Linked DNA regions of Rattus norvegicus. The protein of the gene in region 3 purifies or fractionates together with the protein of the main gene of each other region. This does not show direct contact. Links are inferred from orthologs where the notes say so. Each region holds a gene or a part of one and is shown on either strand. Other genes may lie near its edges.

The links.
Region 1: the proteins of Nck2 (region 3) and Pak2 purify together in Homo sapiens (affinity purification with mass spectrometry; 3 studies listed by BioGRID and IntAct, counting the BioPlex papers as one, with this or other methods). This does not show direct contact. The link is inferred for Rattus norvegicus from reciprocal best matches to the Homo sapiens genes NCK2 and PAK2.
Region 2: the proteins of Nck2 (region 3) and Wipf2 purify together in Homo sapiens (affinity purification with mass spectrometry; 3 studies listed by BioGRID and IntAct, counting the BioPlex papers as one, with this or other methods). This does not show direct contact. The link is inferred for Rattus norvegicus from reciprocal best matches to the Homo sapiens genes NCK2 and WIPF2.

Annotation. Positions count from the first base shown.
Region 1 is NC_086029.1:82,242,093-82,248,711, reverse strand, and holds part of Pak2 (serine/threonine-protein kinase PAK 2), read right to left. Parts: intron 2,587-6,619; coding exon 2,486-2,586; intron 185-2,485; coding exon 37-184; intron 1-36. UniProt on the Homo sapiens protein: Serine/threonine protein kinase that plays a role in a variety of different signaling pathways including cytoskeleton regulation, cell motility, cell cycle progression, apoptosis or proliferation.
Region 2 is NC_086028.1:84,334,217-84,340,935, reverse strand, and holds the start of Wipf2 (WAS/WASL-interacting protein family member 2), read right to left. Parts: upstream 4,214-6,719; coding exon 4,151-4,213; intron 1-4,150. UniProt on the Homo sapiens protein: Plays an active role in the formation of cell surface protrusions downstream of activated PDGFB receptors. Plays an important role in actin-microspike formation through cooperation with WASL.
Region 3 is NC_086027.1:53,291,849-53,298,467, reverse strand, and holds part of Nck2 (cytoplasmic protein NCK2), read right to left. Parts: intron 3,592-6,619; 5' UTR 3,576-3,591; coding exon 3,350-3,575; intron 1-3,349. UniProt on the Homo sapiens protein: Adapter protein which associates with tyrosine-phosphorylated growth factor receptors or their cellular substrates. Maintains low levels of EIF2S1 phosphorylation by promoting its dephosphorylation by PP1.

The DNA.
Region 1 (6,619 bases), on a different chromosome or scaffold from region 3:
ACCTGGTCCAGCCTCTTACCACGGTCTGGGTCTTACCAGGAGGAGTGAAGCTCAGGTACTTCTGCTTCACAGTGTTGGAGTCGTAGAACTTCAAGACATCCAGCACAGCCTGCGGGTTCTTCTTCTGCTCCAGTTTGGTAATGTTGGAGGTCTGCAACAGCCGTGCCCACTGCTCTGGCATGCCCTAACCAAAAGAAATCCACAAATCAGTTACGGTTTAATGCTCTAATGAAAAACATTTCACAGGCCAACGACAACACCCAGGCAGTCGTGTTACGGAAGGCTCTGAGCTGCTGTGTGGGTGCTGGGAGCTGAACCAGGTCTCCTGCAAGAACAGCCAGTGCTCCGAACCTGAGCCCTCTACAGCCCTACTCACTTATTTTTGACACAGAGTTTTAACTATATAGCCCAGCCTGGCCTGGAACTCAAAATATTTTAAATTCCAGTTGCCTTAGTTGCCCACAGTTGCCTTAGTATTGGGATTAAAATGTACAGTGGTTTTATTCTGTTTTTTGAGACAGGGTTTCTCTGTGTAACCTCAGCCGTCCTAGGATTCACTTACTCTGTAGACCATGCTGGCCTCAAATTCAGAGATCAACCTACCTCAAATGCTGGGATTAAAAGTGTATGCCACCATGTCTGGCAAAAAGTCTAGGTTTTTTTAAAAGGACTATGTGGTCAACTGACAGGCTCTAGTGTGGTCCTCCAGTACCTTCCAAATTTTGTTTGAGATAGGATCTTCTACTGGCCTAAAATGCTACCAAATAGGTTGGGAGCGTGGAATCACGCAACAGCATTTGGCTTTTTTTTTTTTTTTTTTTTTTTTGGTTCTTTTTTTCGGAGCTGGGGACCGAACCCAGGGCCTTGCGCTTCCTAGGTAAGCGCTCTACCACTGAGCTAAATCCCCAGCCCCAGCATTTGGCTTTTTATGAGTTTTAAGGAAAGATCTGAATTCAGATCTTTTCATACTTGCAAGATAAGCATTTTGCCAACTGAGCCATCATCCTATCCCTAAAAGTTCATTTCTCTGTGTCTTAGTCATGGTTTTACTGCTGTGAACAGACACCATGACCAATGCAGCTCTTATAAGGACAACATTTAATTGGGGCTGGCTTACAGGTTCAGAGGTTCAGTCCATTATCATCAAGGTGGGAACATGGCAGTGTCCAGACAGGTATGGAGCAGGGGGAGCTGAGAGTTCTATGTCTTCATCTGAGGACTGCTAGCGGAACACACTGACTTCCAAGCAGCTACAATGAGGGTCTTAAAGCCCACACCCAATGGCACACCTACTCCACAGGGCCATACCTTCTAATAGTGCCACTTCCTGGGCCAAGCCTATACAAACCATCACACTCTGTACCTGTTTTTCATAACTATAATTGATAGGCTTGGCTCTCTGGAGAAAAGGGTCATCCAATTACTAATCCCTTTGAAGGCTATGCTCTGTATGTGACTGACTATTCTGCCTGCATGTACGTATGTCCACCTATATGTTTCATGCCCTCAGAGGTCAGAAACAGGTGTCAGATACACCGGAACTAGAATTGTGGATCATTGTGAGCCACATGTGGGTGCTGGACACGGAACCCAGATCCTCTGCAAGAGCAACAAATGCTCTAATTTTCTGAGTCACACTAATATTTTTATGACCAGTAAGAATTGATAACTAATTCTATGTAGTCAGTGTATAACCCCACACTCTGACACCTAAAAGCAGGAGAATTTAGAATTCCAGGTTTTACTGGGACATAGTGAACTTTGTTTTAAACAAACAACAACAACAAATAAAGAAAGGATCATCATATGGGATAGAAAAGTTCAATACCAGTCATGTGACCCCATAGTTATCACCTTGGCACATGGACAGCAGAGACAGGAGGACTAAATTCAAGACCAGCCTTAACTACAAAATAAAGTTTGTGGGAGGCCAGCCTGGGCTACATAAAAATCCAGTCTCAAAAAACCAGAGAGAAAAGTTAATTTTAAGCCTAACATTGAACAAAATGCTGGAGTTCCTTTTTTGGTTTCTTATTTTGACTGTGTGCACATTTTCAGAAGCCAGTGGATCATCTCAGGCATGGTTGTCTTCCTCCTTGAGAAAGGTCGCTTGCTCTTACTGCGTCACCATAACCACACAACTCCATGAGCATGCAGTCTCTCTTGTCCCCCACTACATAGTAGGAGCACTACAATTACTTTATCTGGTTATGTGCAAGCTGGAGATTTGAACTCAGGTCCTCATACTTGCATAGTAGGTCTTTCTCTCTCTCACGTTTTGGAGACTGGGTTTCTCCATGCAGCTTTGACTGTCCTGAAACCATGTAGACCAAACTGGTCCTGAAGTTAGAGATCCACCTGCCTCTGCCTCCCCAGTCCTGGATTAAAGGCTGCTACTGCCCAGCTAGTGAGTGCTTCTGTCCACAGAGCGATTCCCCAACCTTTCAGCACTGCTTTAATAAACAAACTTCAATTGGTAACTTACAGTGAACTCTCCCGTAACAGCATCAAAGCCAACATGGATGGTATGCTCAAAATCAGACGGCGGAGAAATCTCTGGCCGTTCTTTTTCTTTCTTTTTACTTCCTGAGGGATGAGGGAGAAAATTATCTCTTTAAACAAAGCTAATTATGGCATTTGTTACTGTGTTTGTATTTTCCTGAAACCAATTATGAATAAAATTATGATAGGACCCAGGTACACACATCTCGCGCCCTGACGGAGGGGGCCTCCAATGACACAATTTACAAACGCCACTTGTGAAAGCTGATTTCTTCCTTCATTCCCTTCCTCTTCTTCCAACTTGCTTTTCTGAGACAGGGCCTCATTTTCCAGCCCACACTGGCCTCAAATTCATGGCAATTCTCCTGTATAGCCTAAGAATATTAAGATTGAATGCATGAGTCACCATACCTGGCTTATACTTTCCTTTTTATTACAGTCTGTAAATATTACATCTTTAAATTACCCAACTCTCCTATAGTTGCACTGTAAAAAAAATTACTGCAACATCAGTAACATTTTTTGCACATTTAAACACATCAATTCCTTCTCCTCTCCAGTCCTCCTCCTCTAATCTGTAGCTCTTAAAACCATGAATCTATTTCTGGATGCTCTGCTCTCTTAAAGTCATCTCTCTATCATTATGCCAACCCCGTGTACCTTGATTACTGTCATCCTTATAACAAACATCAAAAGAACAGTCTAAGGCCTTTTTTTTTTTTTTTTTTTTTTTTTTACTGTTTTCAAATCTGCTAGGATGATTTCAGGTCCTCTACATTTCTATATGAAATTAACAATGCTTTACATTTCTACAAAAAGCCTTCTCAGGCTGTGACGGGAACTGCATTAACCTATAAATCAACTTAGAATTTATACACATTTTGCTTTCTGATCCATGGCCAATAACAAATCTTTATAAATTAGGAGTTTAATTTCTCTCAGCAATGTTTGCTAGTTATTGGGAGACAGAATACTGACCCTGCCATTACTTTCATATTTCTGTAAAGGAATACTTATTTTTGACGCTACAGTTTGTGGGTTGGAGTGTAACTCAGAGGTAGCTTGCTTGCTTAGCATGACTGGAGCACAGGGATCAGCCCCACCAGAGAACACAAAATAAACTTCATTCTTTAGGCCTGACCTTTGAACACTCTCTTACTTACTTTAAAATCTGTGTAGGCCTCACAGAGTTTTCTATAAGTAATATGCTATAGTGAACCAAAGAGAGGTGGCCATATCCTTCCTAATTTGGAGCTTTCTTACTCTTTCATTCATCGCACCTTACTGAATTGGCTAGTCCCCAGACCATGGTTAAGTAAAGGCCTTAGTAAGTATTTTTGTGTTTTTACTGAAACAGGAAATGAAAATAGTCAGTTTTTTTTAGTTTAATAAACAGTCAATGTTTCTAACATGCCCTTTATCAAATTTATTACATTTCCTTTGATTTCAAGTTTGCTCAGCACATGTCAGAAATGAATGTTGAGTTATGTTCAGTGTCTTTTCTACTTGTACAACCACACTGCTTATCCTAAGTTACACCACCTTAATCGTCCTTGCAGTCATGAAACAAGCTCTATCTGGCCCTGGTCTATCGCTCTTCTCACACATTGTTGGAGTACCACTGTTAAAACTTCGCCAACTTCAAGAGAAAAATATAGCTCTCTTGTAATGTTTTGGTCTGGGTAAACTGAAGTCACTAAATGTGTCAGAAACATCTCATATTCTATTTTATGGAAATTATATAGAATTGTTTTATTTCATCCATAAACATTTTATTGATTCACTAATGAAGATAGGTAGGTTTTAATAATTTTCTTTGTAGAAAGGGTTTTAGCTATAAACTCAATTCTTCTAGGACATACACAGTCTTTAATCATTTTTATAAAAGTAAACTTTGGAAATCTATATCGTTTAAGAAAAAAATTCACTTTCCATAACTTGAATTTATCAGTACATACTTGTATATAACATTCCATTGTGCCTTAGTGAAGACTGAACCTGGGCTTGTATGGGCTAACCAGATGCTCCGCCCTGGCTTTCACTCCCAATTCCAGCAAACCTTTCATTATAACCTGACATGCAATTTAAAACAACAACAACAACAACAACAACAACAACAACAACAACTACTACTTCACATAAACAGGTGGTAGTGGCACATGCTTTTAATCCTAGCACTCGGGAGGCAGAGGCAGAGGTAGGCAGATCTCTATGAGTTCAAGGCCAGCCTGGTCTACAGGGCAAATTCCAGAACAACCAAGGCTACACAGTGAAACCTCATCTCGAACAAAACAAAATATAAAAAAAAAGTAGAGTTCCTATAGGCTACAGTTTCGGCTGCTTTATTGATCATTTTTTGCAATTGGCTGAATCTAGTTTTATTATTCTTTCCCATCTATGCTGTATTTACTTGTTTGAGTTGTATGTATGATCCAATGAGGTTTAATATATTCATAATGTCACAATCATTATCACCATATAACTAGTATATTTTATCAACCCCTAAAGAAACCTTTTCTCGGGCTGGAGAGATGGCTCAGTTGTTAAGAGCACTGACTGTTCTTCCAGAGGTCCTGAGTTCAAATCCCAGCAACCACATGGTGGTTCACAACCATCTGTAATGAGATCTGACGCCCTCTTCTGGTGTGTTTGAAGACAGCTACAGTGTACTTATATATAATAAATAAATTTTTAAACAAACAAACAAACAAAAAAGAAACCTTTTCTCAATTAGCAATCACTCCTCATTCTACTCTAACCCTTCATCAAATAATAATGTCTTTTCAGTTTTTTATGACTTTTATGTGCATGTGTCTGCTTGAGTACATGCGCACTATTTATGTGCAGGTACCCTCAAAGGCCAAAAGAAGCCATTAGCTGCCCCAGAACTGAAGCTCCAGGTAGCTGTCATCTATGTGATGTGAGCGCTAGGAACCAAACCTGGATCCTCTGTAACAACAGCAAGTGCTCAGTGCTCCTAACTGCTGACTCATCTCTCCATCCTCCAGTTTCTTTAAAAAAAAAAAAAAAAATTGTTTCCTAGTATGTATATGGACCATATGTATATAAGGGCACCACCTTTACACAGTATCCACGGAGGTCAGAAGAAGCATCAGATTCCTGGAACTGGAGTGTCAGATGGCTGTGAGCCATCCTAAGAGCATTAGGAACCAAACCCAGCAATAACTGTTCTTAAATCCAAGCCACCTCGCCAACTCCTGCGTCTTTTTTTCATATTATTTCTTTATTTCCCTTATTCTATTTAATTTGTTCATTATTTCCAACTATTATCTTTCACATTTCCCATTCAGTTACCTTTGAAAAAGAAAACCGTGGGAGAATTTTCTTGATTCTTCTCTCAGCCTCCAACTGCTACACATTTGTTCTGTTAATTTTTGTTTTTTCTTATCCTTTTTTTTTTTTGGTTCTTTTTTTTTTCGGAGCTGGGGACCGAACCCAGGGCCTTGCGCTTCCTAGGCAAGCGCTCTACCACTGAGCTAAATCCCCAACCCCAATTTTTGTTTTTTCAAGACATGATTTCTCTGTGCAGTCCTAGCTGTCCTGGAACTTAGAGATCTGCCGGCCTCTGCTTCCCAAGTGCTGGGGATTAAAGGCATGCGCTACCACTGCCTGGCTTGCTCTGCTGATTTTTTTTTTTTTTTTAAAGATTTACTTTATGTCTATGAGCATGCTGTAGCTGTCTTCAGACACACCAGAAGAGATAGGTATCAGATCCCATTACAGATGGTTGTGAGCCACCATGTGGTTGCTGGGAATTGAACTTAAGACCATTGGAAAAGCAGTCAGTGCTCTTAACCACTGAGACAGCTCTCCAGCCACCTGTTCTGTTAATTTTAAATACTCATTCCCCAAGAATTATTTCTCACTTGATCATTATTTTCTTCTGACAACAGTTTTCGTGAATTTGTCTTCTGTCCTCAAAGAGTAGGTTGTGTATATGTGTGCGTTGGCTGAGATATTTGACTTACTGGTTTTCTGCTTAAATGGAATGCTTCTTTTAAGTTTCTTTTTTTTTTTTTAAAGATTTATTTCATGTATGTCAGTATACTGTAGCTGTCTTCAGACACACCAGAAGAGGGCATCAGATCTCCATTAC
Region 2 (6,719 bases), on a different chromosome or scaffold from region 3:
CCAGAGGTTGATGTCCTGTGTCTTCCTCAAATGCTCTCCACTTCATTTTGGTAATGTTTGTGCTGCATTCTAGTTCTGAGACCAGGTCTCATACACAGCTTTGGCTGGCCTGCACTCAGAGACCACTGACCTCTACCTCCTGCTGCACTCAGAGACCACTCACCTCTACCTCCTGCTGCACTCAGAGACCACTCACCTCTATCTCCTGCTGCACTCAGAGACCACTGACCTCTACCTCCTGCTGCACTCAGAGACCACTGACCTCTACCTCCTGCTGCACTCAGAGACCACTGACCTCTACCTCCTGCTGCACTCAGAGACCACTGACCTCTACCTCCTGCTGCACTCAGAGACCACTCACCTCTACCTCCTGCTGCACTCAGAGACCACTGACCTCTACCTCCTGCTGCACTCAGAGACCACTCACCTCTACCTCCTGCTGCACTCAGAGACCACTCACCTCTATCTCCTGCTGCACTCAGAGACCACTGACCTCTACCTCCTGCTGCACTCAGAGACCACTCACCTCTACTCCTGCTGCACTCAGAGACCACTGGCCTCTACCTCCTGCTGCACTCAGAGACCACTCACCTCTACCTCCTGCTGCACTCAGAGACCACTCACCTCTACTCCTGCTGCACTCAGAGACCACTCACCTCTACCTCCTGCTGCACTCAGAGACCACTCACCTCTACCTCCTGCTGCACTCAGAGACCACTCACCTCTACCTCCTGCTGCACTCAGAGACCACTCACCTCTATCTCCTGCTGCACTCAGCTTCCTTTTTCCTTAAACAGGAGTGCTAGAGTAAACTGAAGCCGTGCTGCTTGTGATGTGAGCACTTCACTGACTGGGGCCTGTCTCCACAACCCTCCCAGTTTTCCATCTCACCCTCATGTCTGACCTCAGCTTCACATGCACAGCAGCAGATACAATACATCCCCAAATGAATATCCTACATATACCTAAAATGTAACCCACACCGTTGTGGTTGGGGTGTGTGTGTGTGTGTCTGAGTGACCAAACTCAGACACTCTGCAGCCTAGGCAAATGTTCCACCACTGAGCTATAGCCCCAGTCCATCTGTTAAATCTTAACACCACTCATTAAATGCAGAGTTTTTTTTCAATTATTCCATTTGTGTCTCTGTGTGTGCACATACATGTGCACTCACATGCATGTGCTCATGTATGAAGGTCAAAGACAACTTTCATGAGTCAATTCTCTCCCTCTACCATGGGACCAGACTTAGGCTGCCACGCATTCTGAGCCATTCTACCAGCCTACACCCAGGTAGGGCTTTCCAAGCTCTTAATGAACCTTTCTGTAAATCATTAGAAATCAAAACCATTCTAAAACTGGGTACGATAGCACACACTGCAGATAACCTTAGCTGGCTGAGATATCAGGATCTGGAGTTCAAGTCCAGCCTGAGATACAAGTGTAACTATGCACAAAGGCTCACGGTTTCTAACACAACTAAAGCACAGGGAAAGCCTGGGCTCTACAGTACCTTAACATATAAAAACGTTTTACAAACTGGTGGTTTCAATATGCTTGGTCCAGGGAGTGGCACTGTTAGGAGGTGTGGCCCTGTTGGATTAGGTGTGGCGCTGTTGAAGGAGAAGGTGTGGCGCTGTGGGAGTAGGCTTTGAGAGAGTTCCTAGCTGCCTGAGGATGGCAGTCTCCTGCTGCCTTCATTCAGTTCTAGATGCAGAGCTCTCGGCTCCTTCTCCAGCATCGTGTCTACCTGGACACTGCCCTGCTTCCTGGCATGATGATAATGGAACCTGTAAGCCAGCCCCAGTTAAATGTCCCTATAAGAGTTGCCTTAGGCATGGTGTCTCTTCTCAGCAATGGAAGCCCTGACTAGGACACACACCGACAGTTAATAATCCAAGGACACGACCGTACTTCACAAAAGATTTCTTTTCTTTTTCTTTTTTTTCCGGAGCTGGGGACCGAACCCAGGGCCTGCAAGCGCTCTACCACTGAGCTAAACCCCCAACCCCTCACAAAAGAAATTAAACAGGAAGCAGATATTTAAAATTTTTCAGCAACAATTAAGATTAAAAAGAATGCAGGGTCTGAAGAAACGGCTCAGAGATTTAAGAACATTTGTTCCTTTTACAGAAGACCTGAGTTCAGTTCCCAACACCCACATCAGTCAACTGACAACCACTTGTAACTCCTGCTCCAAATCTGACATTCTACTATGGCCTCCTCAGAAGACACCAGGCATACAAGCTGTCAAAGGCAAGCAAAACCACTCATACGTATAATCTGTATGTTTTTTAATTTATTAAGAAAGCAGGCTAAGAGTCAATATAGTTTACCTATTAAGTTAGTATAGTTTACAACTGTTGACAACATGACATGTTCATGACAACAGGACCACCACTCAGTACTCTACAGTGCTTGGCACAGAGAGGAAAAGTGCAAAAACTGTTCAGATGAAAGCTGGGGATGGTCAAGGCTGAGGCAGGAGGACTAGTTACATTCAGGCCAGTTTGGGCTGCTCAGTCAGACCCTGTCTTAAGCCCAAACCAACAAAGGCTGAGCACGGTGGTGTACGCCTTTAATCCCAAAACTGGGGAGGCAAAGGCAGACAGATCTCTGAGTTCCAGGCCAGCCAGGTCTACACGGTGAGACCTGGCTCAAACAAAACAAAACAAAAACCCAAGGAGCTGAAGAGATGGATCAATGGTTGAGGGTACTGGCTGCTCTTCTATAGGACCTGGGTTCAATTCCCAGCACTCACATGACAGCTCATCATTGTCTGTACTCCAGTTCAGGACCTGACAGCCTCTTCTGGCTCCTAGGACACTAGGCATTCATATGGTTCACAGATACATGCAGGCAAATCACCCACACATAAAAGAAAACAATTTTAAAAACTGTACTGAACTGACTGGGCGCAGGAAAGATGAAATGTAGCAGAAAACTACCTCCTCAGGTCCTCATCCCTCTCTCAAGAACGCCAGAGAAAGGAGGCTAACCTATTCGCATTTTTGTTATGTTTTTGGTTGGTTGGTTTTGGTAACAAGATTTCGCTATGTAGCCCCTGGCTGTCCTGGGACTTGCTCAGTAGTCCAGGCTGGCCTTGAACTCAGGGATCCACTTGCCTCTCACTTCCAAATGCCGGGGATTAAAGGCGTGTGCCACCACCGCCCAACTGAGACTAACCTATTTATAAAATAGATAGTTATGGGGACTGCTCAGAAATGCAAACCCGTTGAGGCAGACAGGCTTGTTGTCTATCTACATTGCCTGCTATTAAATGTGTCTACAAATGCGACAGGAATCCAGGATGCAGCTGGGCAGATGCTCAGGGCTACAATCCACAAGGCAGAGAAAAGAGGATCACACTGCAAGTTACAGGCTAGTAAGCTCTAGGCCAGTCACATAGTAAGATCCTGTCTCAAAATCCGAGGAGAAAATTTTTAGTTAAAATTTAAATACACCGAAAAAAAGAAAAAGAAAAAAAATTTAAATACATATTAAAAGTATAGATGGTATTTAAAACAATTAGTAGATAGGGTTATTTTATGTCTGTAATCCCAGCAGTTAAGAAAAATGAGGCAGGGGTTTGGGGATTTAGCTCAGTGGTAGAGTGCTTGCCTAGCAAGCGCAAGGCCCTGGGTTCGGTCCCCAGCTCTGGAAAAAAAGAAAAAAAAAAAAAAAGAGAAATGAGGCAAATTTAAGGCCAGCCTGGACTACACGGCAAATACAAGGCCAGCCTGGACTATATAGCGAGATTTTGTTGTAACAAACAAAAAACAAAACCACAAGAGGGTAAGTGCTGGAGAGACGGCTCAGTGATTAAGAACACTGCTGATCTTGCAGAGGACCCAGGTTCCACAGCTGCTGTAACTCCATTCCTGAGGATCCCAAGGCTAACTTCCACCTCCTGGGCACCGGGCATGCAAGTGGCACATATACATACAAGCAGGGAAAACACTCATCCGTGTCAAGTATATAAAAGAAAAGTAAACACAGCAAAAAGCAAGCTCACAGTGAAAGAGCAGTTAGGTAAGAAAATCTAGAAGTTTTAAACAAAGAAGGCTGGAAAGAAAAAGAAGAGAACAGTACGAGAAGCCCACCAATTTACTTAGAGGTTTGAAGATAACCCAGTGGAGAGGTTACCTACCTGACTGAAGGTGGGAGGTGGGGGAGGACCAGGCGGGGGTGGGGGGGGAGGAGGAATTGGCATGCTTGCCCTGCTCCCAGTTGGCACCGTTCTCTCTCCGTTTTTAGTTGCAGCTTTAGGTCATTCATAGACCTATAAACAAAACCAGAATTCAAAAGAACAGCGTTAAAATTAGAGGCTCTGAGTACCCAGGAAGTCTAGGATTAGACAAGGACCAGAGGTCCTGAACACTTCGTCCCCTACATAAATGCTCTATAAAATGCCACCTTACAGACTCCTTTTATAAATGATTCTGTTTTGTGGTACTGAGGATCAAACCCAGGGCCTCACGCATGCTAAGCACAGGCTTCACCACTGATGTCTATTCCCAGCCCAACTAAAAGACAAAAACAACCAAAAAAACCTCAATTTTAGAAGTTTTAGGTTCACAGCAAAACAGAGCAAGAAGCACCAAGAGTTTCTAGGTAACTGTCCATGCACGCACCTCGCCACCGTGTGACTGGCTGGTGGGTCATACAGTACAAGTGTGTTTGATTCTATAAGATGCTGCAAATGGCTATACCAACTTTGGGTTTGCATCAGCAACACAGAATTCCTGTTGCTCCACATCTCTGCCAGCACTTGGTGCTGTCGGTTTGGATCTTGGCCTCGCTAGTAAGCATGTACTGTTCAGTTTGCAATCTTGCTTAATTCACAATTTCCAAGGAGCCTGGTGTTGATCATGTTTTCATATGCCCACCTGCCATTGTGCATCTTCTTGGCTGAGGCATCTGTTTAAGTCCTCTGACTTGGGGGTGGAGGGTGTCAGGGCTTGAAGGTGCGGTGAGCCTATATTCTATCAATTAGCTATTCAAAAAGATTTATCTATTTTAGTTTTTTTTTTAAATGAGTACACTATTGCTATCTTCAGATACACCAGAAGAGGGCATCGGACCTCATTACAGATGGCTGTGAGCTGGGAATGTTGGATGTGGTTGCTGGGAATTGAACTCAGGACCTCTGGAAGAGCAATCAGTGCTCTTTTTTTTTTTTTTTTTTCCGGAGCTGGGGACCGAACCCAGGGCCTTGCGCTTCCTAGGTAAGCGCTCTACCACTGAGCTAAATCCCCAGCCCCCTGATTTTTTTTTTAACAGCCTTTTAAGAACATAAAGTCACTGGCAGCAGTGGTCCAGGCCTTTAGTCTCAGCATTTGGGAAGCAGTGGTCGAGGCCAACCTGGTAGACAAATCAGAGCTATACAGAAAACCCTGTCTTGGAAAGTGTGTGTGTGTGTGTGTGTGTGTGTTTTCACATATCTAGGATATATATATTCTCTATATATGCACATATGTATATATATATGTGTGTGTATATGCACATATGTACAAACACACATATAAAGTCATTCTCAGTTTGAGAGGCATTCAAGAGCAGGCTGTGACCGTATTTGACTAATAGGCCACAGTTCACCTGTACCTTGGAATAGTCACACCCATGGGACTTGATTAGAGAATAAATACCACATGAGAAATTAGCTACACACTTGGTCACAAAACACTTAGCATTTGAAACCTACAGCTATCTGCCCATTACAATTTGCTTAAGTTCATACAGGACTGAACTGAGGGATGGACGGACAGATTGACTGATGTAAGTCATTACACTGGCTAAAGATAAAACGGAGAGCTCAAGAACATCAAGTTCTCCAAAGCTTGGTCCCAAGAAAATCTCTTTTCTTGATCTCCAAAAATGGAAGCCAGAATAACCCGGGCACAAGGAATCTAAACTCAGATAGGAAAGAGAAAATAAAGGGCTGGAGAGATGGCTCAGAGGTCACGAGCATTTGCTGCTCTTGTAGCTCCCATATCAGGCTGCTCACAAGAACCTGTAACTCCAGTTCCAGGGGATCCAATGCCCTCTCTGACCTCCATGGGAACCCACCCACATGCAGCACACAGACACACAGAAACAAAAGTAAAAAACATATCTTTAAAAAAAAAAGAAGAAGAAGAAACAAAGAGGTCAATTCGTCAGTGCACAGAGGAACTGCTTCTGAACAAAGCAACTATGGCTGGGGCAAGGAGACTTGCGGCAGTCCACAGTAAAGATGGAGACCGTGTGGACTAAGCCAAGCTTAACAGTCAAGCTAGCGTGGCAAGAAGGCCACAGGAAGGCCGAGTTTTGAACTCCTTACAGGGATATCTGTGATCCACCGTGAATAACAAGTATTTCCAATAGTCTCTCGATGACCAGCAGTAAAGATAGAAAAGAGAAGAAATCCTAACGGTTCTCTAGACCAGGAACTGTTGCAGGAGAACAGAACTGATGAGAAACTTGACTGACAAATCTCCAACTCCTCCCACTGTGCTGTCCAACAGAGCCGGCTATTTCAAAGACACAGCGATCTGAAGAACAGTTCCTGGTTGGGCATTCGCAGGAGGCCGAGGCCTACATTCTCTCTGAAGCGGAGCCGTGGGGGCAGTTAGACGGCTGGAGAATCAGGCATTTGCCACCAAGCCTAACAGGCTCTGCTCAATCCTTAAGGCCACAGTGGGAAAAAGAGTCCAACTAGTTGTCCTCTAACTTCCACA
Region 3 (6,619 bases):
AGAAGTTCACAGAAGAGCTGTCACTCACTAAAGCGATTTGTTCTGCTTGGCATAGCCCTGGAGGGCAGAGTCAGAGCCAAGGGGAGGAAGTTTGAGAAATGTAAAATTTCGATTCTATTTTAGGAAGCACTTTCTAACAATCTGTATTCTCCAAAAATGGAATTGGCCTTTTCTAGCAGTCGAAGCATTCCAGCAGGGCTGGATGGCGGTCTGTCGGTGACAGGGAAGCAGGCCCAGCACCAGGGGGAAGATGTGCTGCCTTGCTCTGTACCTTAGGGTTGTGAAACAAGAGGAACTGATCACACGCAGGGAAGTCTGAATATACTGGGCAAAGATAAAGCCCGGAGCTCTGACCCTGCCTTATCTTGACTTCTAAGAAAGTCAATAAGGCAGTCACTCGAGGAGCTCTCCATGACCTTGGAGGCTCACTTAGTCCACCTCCAAGTCCTGTGTGTTTTGTAGTTTATGGAATTCTGAGATATTTTTGAGGCAAAATATGTCAACAATGCTCAACAGTACTACAGAGGGTGTGGTAAGAGGGAGTTGGAAAATCAGTCAAATACTCTCAGGACCACACTAAAGCACTGACCCATTCAACATGCCTCTTTATCTATCGCACCTCACTGAGAGTCCTGAGACTAGGACAGAAGCATTTCTTTCCAGTGACTGTTTTTAAACCAAAGAAAAAGAATACACAGGGGAGAAAGTTTAGAGAAAAAAAAAAGACTTAGAATGCTAATAACATATGGAGCTTTCCCAGCAGTCTCAGAGTCTACACTAGCCACCGATAACCTGAGAAAAATCCAACCACAGCACAAAATCCCTCCCAGTGACCGAAGGCTTCACCCACTGAAGGGTGAGCAGTGACCTTTGTGGATTTTACAAGGAAGAAGACGGATTCCCTGCAACACCCACCACACTCAGTGTGATTTTGTTTTCAATTTTCCCATAGTCCCCTCACCCTGCCCCTGCTAATGAAACTAATTCTCTTCCAGTAACACACAAAAAAGCCTACATACACTCAGCCCAGGTGATGATACTGGCTTACTTCCACAACAAACCTCAAGTGGCGAGCTGGCCTTGTTGCCTATAGACAACTTTATACTTTACCTGAGGAGGCAGCAACTGTAAACTGTCAGCTCAGTTCAGTTGTCCTTCCACAGAGCCCTCCCAATTATATTCTCAGACAATCTGAGGCAGTAACCATGGTTGGTGAGGACAATGTACACACTCAGGTATGCTTCCCTACCACTGAGGTAGCGAACCCCTGTCTGATCAGGTGCTATGGATTACTGGGGTTCGAATGTATCTCCTTACCTTGTGCTGAATTTAATCCCCTACAGAGGTAGTAAGAAAGAAGAAACTGGTTCCTATAACAGTGGTTAGAAGTGGGGCCTTTGGGTGATAGCAGTTGCATAAATTCTGTTTACAGAGGGAACAGTATCAAAAACACACACATACAATTCTTTATCCCTCCTGGTCTCTTGCCATAAGGAACTTGTACCATACTGAAAATTTGCCAAGAAGGAGATATACATACAGCCACTTGACTTTGGACCATGAGTGTAAGCCAAATTAAGCAGTGTTCTTTATATAGCCTAACCTCAAGCAGTTTGTTACAGTGTCAGGAAATGAACTAATATACCAGAGGAAGACAAGAGGCACAGCTATGAAGAATGTGATAACCAAACAGGGCTTATGGAGGTATCCATCTGAGAGACTTCTGATGTCATGTTTCTAATCACCCCAACTACACATTAACCAACTGCCCGAAACTGTAGAATAAACTATGCTATCACCGAAGACGAGGGGAGAAGTGCCTTCTCCTTCTGTGTGCAGAGGCCAGCATGGGAATTTGTAAGATAAAAGGTGATACACTGACAGAAAAAGCTACTAAACTTGTCATGATTCTAAGTCAGGGTCCTCTACTGTCTGGATACAAGGAGACAGACAGCTGTGTAGGGGTCCTTAGCACCATGAGGAGGAGTTGATTTACCCAAGATCCCAAACTGTATAATTTATCCAGAGAATGATTAGTGTTTATCTTAATCTCAATATAAAACCCCAGAAGGTAGGAGGCTATCAACATTAATACCGGCCCCAAAACACATACACTACATACACATACACACACACATGCACCACATACATACACACACTCCTACCACACATACACACACACAGCACATACACATACACACACACACACACACACACACACACAGGCACCACATATATACACTACCCACACTCCTACTACACATACACACACATAGCACATACATACACACACACCTATACACACACTATGCACCTACCATATACAACACACCCTACAACTACTCCACACACACAAACACACTGAATACACAGCCACATACATACACATACTATACACATTCCTACCATACACACACACATATTACACACCTACCACATACATATACACCCCACAACATATACACCTACTCCATACACACAAACATACTGAATACACAGCCACATACATACACTACACACATTCCTACCACACACAGCACATACACACACACTATACACCTACCACACACATACACACATACTACACATGCAAACACATACTACATATCTAACACACACACACACCTACACACACACTACACACCTACCACATATAACACACCCCATAACATACATACATACCTACTCCATACACACAAACACACTGTATACACAGCCACATACACACACACACTACACACATTCCTATCACACACAACACGTACACACACACTATACACCTACCACACACACACACACACACAACACATGCATACACACACTATGTATCTAACACACACACACACACACACACACACACACACTACACATGCATACACACACTACGTATCTAACACAGACACACACACAGAGACACAGACACACACGCACACACACACACACACGCACACACACTACACATGCATACACACACTACATACCTAACACACACACACTACACATGCATACACACACTACATACCTAACACACACACACACACTACACATGCATACACACACTACATACCTAACACACACACACACACTACACATGCATACACACACTACATACCTAACACACACACACACACTACACATGCATACACACACTACATACATAACACACACACACACAACACATGCATACACACACTACGTATCTAACACACACACACACACAGACACAGACACAGACACACACGCACGCACGCACGCACGCATGCACGCACACGCACACTGAAGCAGCAGTGCTAACCCTGGCTGTTCCTGTGGGACGACCTGCTATTCCAGGTGGGGTATGGACACTCACCTAGCGTGTCCTTGAGATTCTTCACCAGGGACCCCTTCTTCAGGCTGTTCTTACGCTCCACGTAGTTGGAAGGCACGTAGCCTGTCCTGTTGGCCGCATTCCTCACCCGCCACCACGTCTTGGAGTCGTCCAGCAGCCACAGCCGCTCGTTCTTCCTGATGTCGAGCTCCTGGTCCTGCTGGGCAGTGTAGTCCCACTTGGCTATGACAATGACTTCTTCTGTCATCTTTCATGGAGCCCTTCTGCCAGCAAAACATTTAAAGATGCTCATTAGCTACCTGAACCCCTCTCCTCTGACAGATTTGAAAAGCTGTCAACGACAGCTCCCATGGCCACACTGCCCCCGGTCTCCTCTCAGCCCCTTGAAGCACTTGCCCTTAGAATGACCTACCCGTAGGCCCTAGTGCTGCTGAGAAACAGCATCTTGTAATCAAAGCCTGCAGCCCCTCTCAGTGCACTAAGCACACTGCGCATTTACTGACGCTAGATGCGAACTTGGGGGCAAAACACTCAGAATAATAATCTCATGATTAAAGCGCTCACTTGGCAAGTGACACCGCCCTTACAGCTGATAGGTTTGCACTCCTATTTTCAGCACATGCTGAGGATTTTGAAGATATTTAATAAATATAACACACCCAAACCACTCCTATAAACTCAAATTCAATTAATGTACTACCAATGCACTGAGGTATTTGGAGATGGATGGTAAAATACACCAAGAAAATTTGTAAAAACACTGTTGAAATGTAAACAAAGCCTAGACAACAGCGACGCGCCCAGGCTAGCTAGTTTTGACAATTCAATATAATATGTTAACACTGGAGAAATTAGCTAGGGGCTAATTTCCTGCATAAATAACTGTACAGAACTATTCCTATAAATATAAAATCATACCGTAAAACAAAGCAATACTTGGATATTCACTTCTTTATTCAAATTGCCCAAACTGGGAAATAACCAAAGATACCCTCCAGGAGGTGAACTGCTAAACCAATTGTCTGGTTTAAGGCAGTGGGATGTTTAAGTGCTAGGGAAAGAGCAGAAGAAAATGCAGACGCTTCCTAGACCTGAAGGCAGGCAGCGAGGCCAGAAAGGCTGGGCATGTGGATTTGGACATGGGGTCTCCTTTGAGCAAACTTTACTGAAGTCCCTGGGAACCCTGTTCTCTGTAGCTTTTGTGTCCATCTCTGCATCATCCAGTCTTACGTTAGCAAGAATCATCCACTGCTGACACCTGACCAGGTTCCTAGGCTCCCACAATGCTGCGTGGGATGGCTGTTCGGTCACCTGTCCTCCGTTAGCAAGAATCCTGTGAGGTGGGCTCATCCAGGATCCACCACACCACCCTCCTGTCTGGCTGTGAACTCCCACTTATCCTCAAAGGAGCTGAGCTCTTCTCGACGGTAGAACTCTGTGGTAGGATCCCCTGAACAGTCTGCCTTGCTGTCTCCTAACTAGCTCTTAAATAGCCATTCCATTATATGACATTCTAGGAAAGGCAAAAATCTCTGGAGACACAGGGCCGACCGGTAAAGAGGGAGGAGGGGGCAGAAGCAAGCGATGCAGAGAGATGGTGAACACATGTAATTGTAATTGCAAATGTCTGTCAAGACATGTTTGCTGTGTAGATCAAAATACATCCTAACACTACTCCAAAGTACAGCTTATTACAGCAACAAAGATGGCACAAATCTGATGAAGTCAGTCTGGGAAGTTCTAGATAGGAAAGAACACAGTACACACAGGTATCACCTACTTTAACAACAACTGCACCCTTCTCGGGTAGAAAATGCACAAGGGTTCTCGCAGCAGCCCCTCTACTGACTGGGTATGCCCCTCAATTATGGAAGGAGGAAGGGCAAGATGCTTGACCCAAACCCCTCTCTCCTCTTGACAGAGTTCTCCTGATCTTACCTCATGAGTTCAGAGTCAGGTAACCCAGGCACCTGACCCATGGAGGCATGAATTTGACACGTTCTACCACATTCAGGCACATACGAATAATTACCACATTAGATAAAAATCATTTGGGAAGAAGAAAACCCTTGTACACTGTACATATAATATACATAATATCCAAGAGGGTGGAGTTGACACAAAGTTCTTCTCAAAGCCCGAGACGAATAGCTACCTGCCCTCAGAGGACACCCCAGCTTGCAGCTCCCACATCTGGTTTCTCTATCAGATTAGACCTGAAAAGCATCACAGTGGGCATCTCTTTTAAAGTCAAGGACAGAAATGATAGCTGTAATAAAAAGGAGGTCCACAGGGGATTCCATTTAAATACCAGGTCTGCTGCTGAATTATATAATTTCCAACATGATTTTAAATAGGAACAGATCATCATTTAAATCAGTTGATATCCAGCCAACCAAAGCTCTCTACTGAATTTCCTTCTGCATCAACAGTAGTTATGAGAGGACTTGGATGCATTTATTTCAGTGCATGCTGAAAGCATAAGGCTTATCAAAACACAGCTTCCTGCTAAGCCAAGAGCAGGGTATCAGAGAGGCCGGAAATATGCAGCGGTTGCTAAGGGATACAGCAGGCACCAAGTGCATCTAGCCAAGGAAAAGCCACATGCACTGCAGGAACTGGAGGCCCAGGGGCAGATGCCCCAGATACTGGATATGGAGGTACAAGACTTGGTGTTTTCTGGCTAGGCTTCAGTCTTGTTTTGGTGGGATCTTTCCTTGTTATGCCCTAATTCTTATTCCTACTCTGTTACCATATATTGGAAGAATGTTACTTGTTCTTATTTTATAGCAGTTCATAGGTAAGATTTGTCTCAGGTCTTGGAAAAGACTTTAGAATTCTAACACTGTCGAGATAGAGTATGAAGTCCTTCAAAGGTAGAATTGATGCATTTTGCATGAAGAGATGGCCACAAGCCTCTAGGGACCAGCGGTAAAATGTTACAATTTGTGTTTGGGTGCCTTATGGTGTTTAAACTGTCAACCTGACTGGACAGAAAAACCCCGTAGACATTAATAAGAGGCACAAGGGTGGAGTGTGTATTTTATGAGGCTGTTTCCAGAGAGGTTAGGTTGAGGGAAGATCTATCCTGATTATGGGTGGCGCCAATCCATGGGATAGCATCCTGGACTAAATACAAAGAAAAAACAGGAGAAAGGTAGCTGAGCCCCCAGTATTCCTCTCCTTCCTTTCCAGTCAGGTCACAACCAAGCGGCTTCCAGTGCCATGGTGAACGTCCTTCTTCTGAACTATGAGGCCTAACAGATCCTTTCTTCCTTTGTGGGAGGTGGC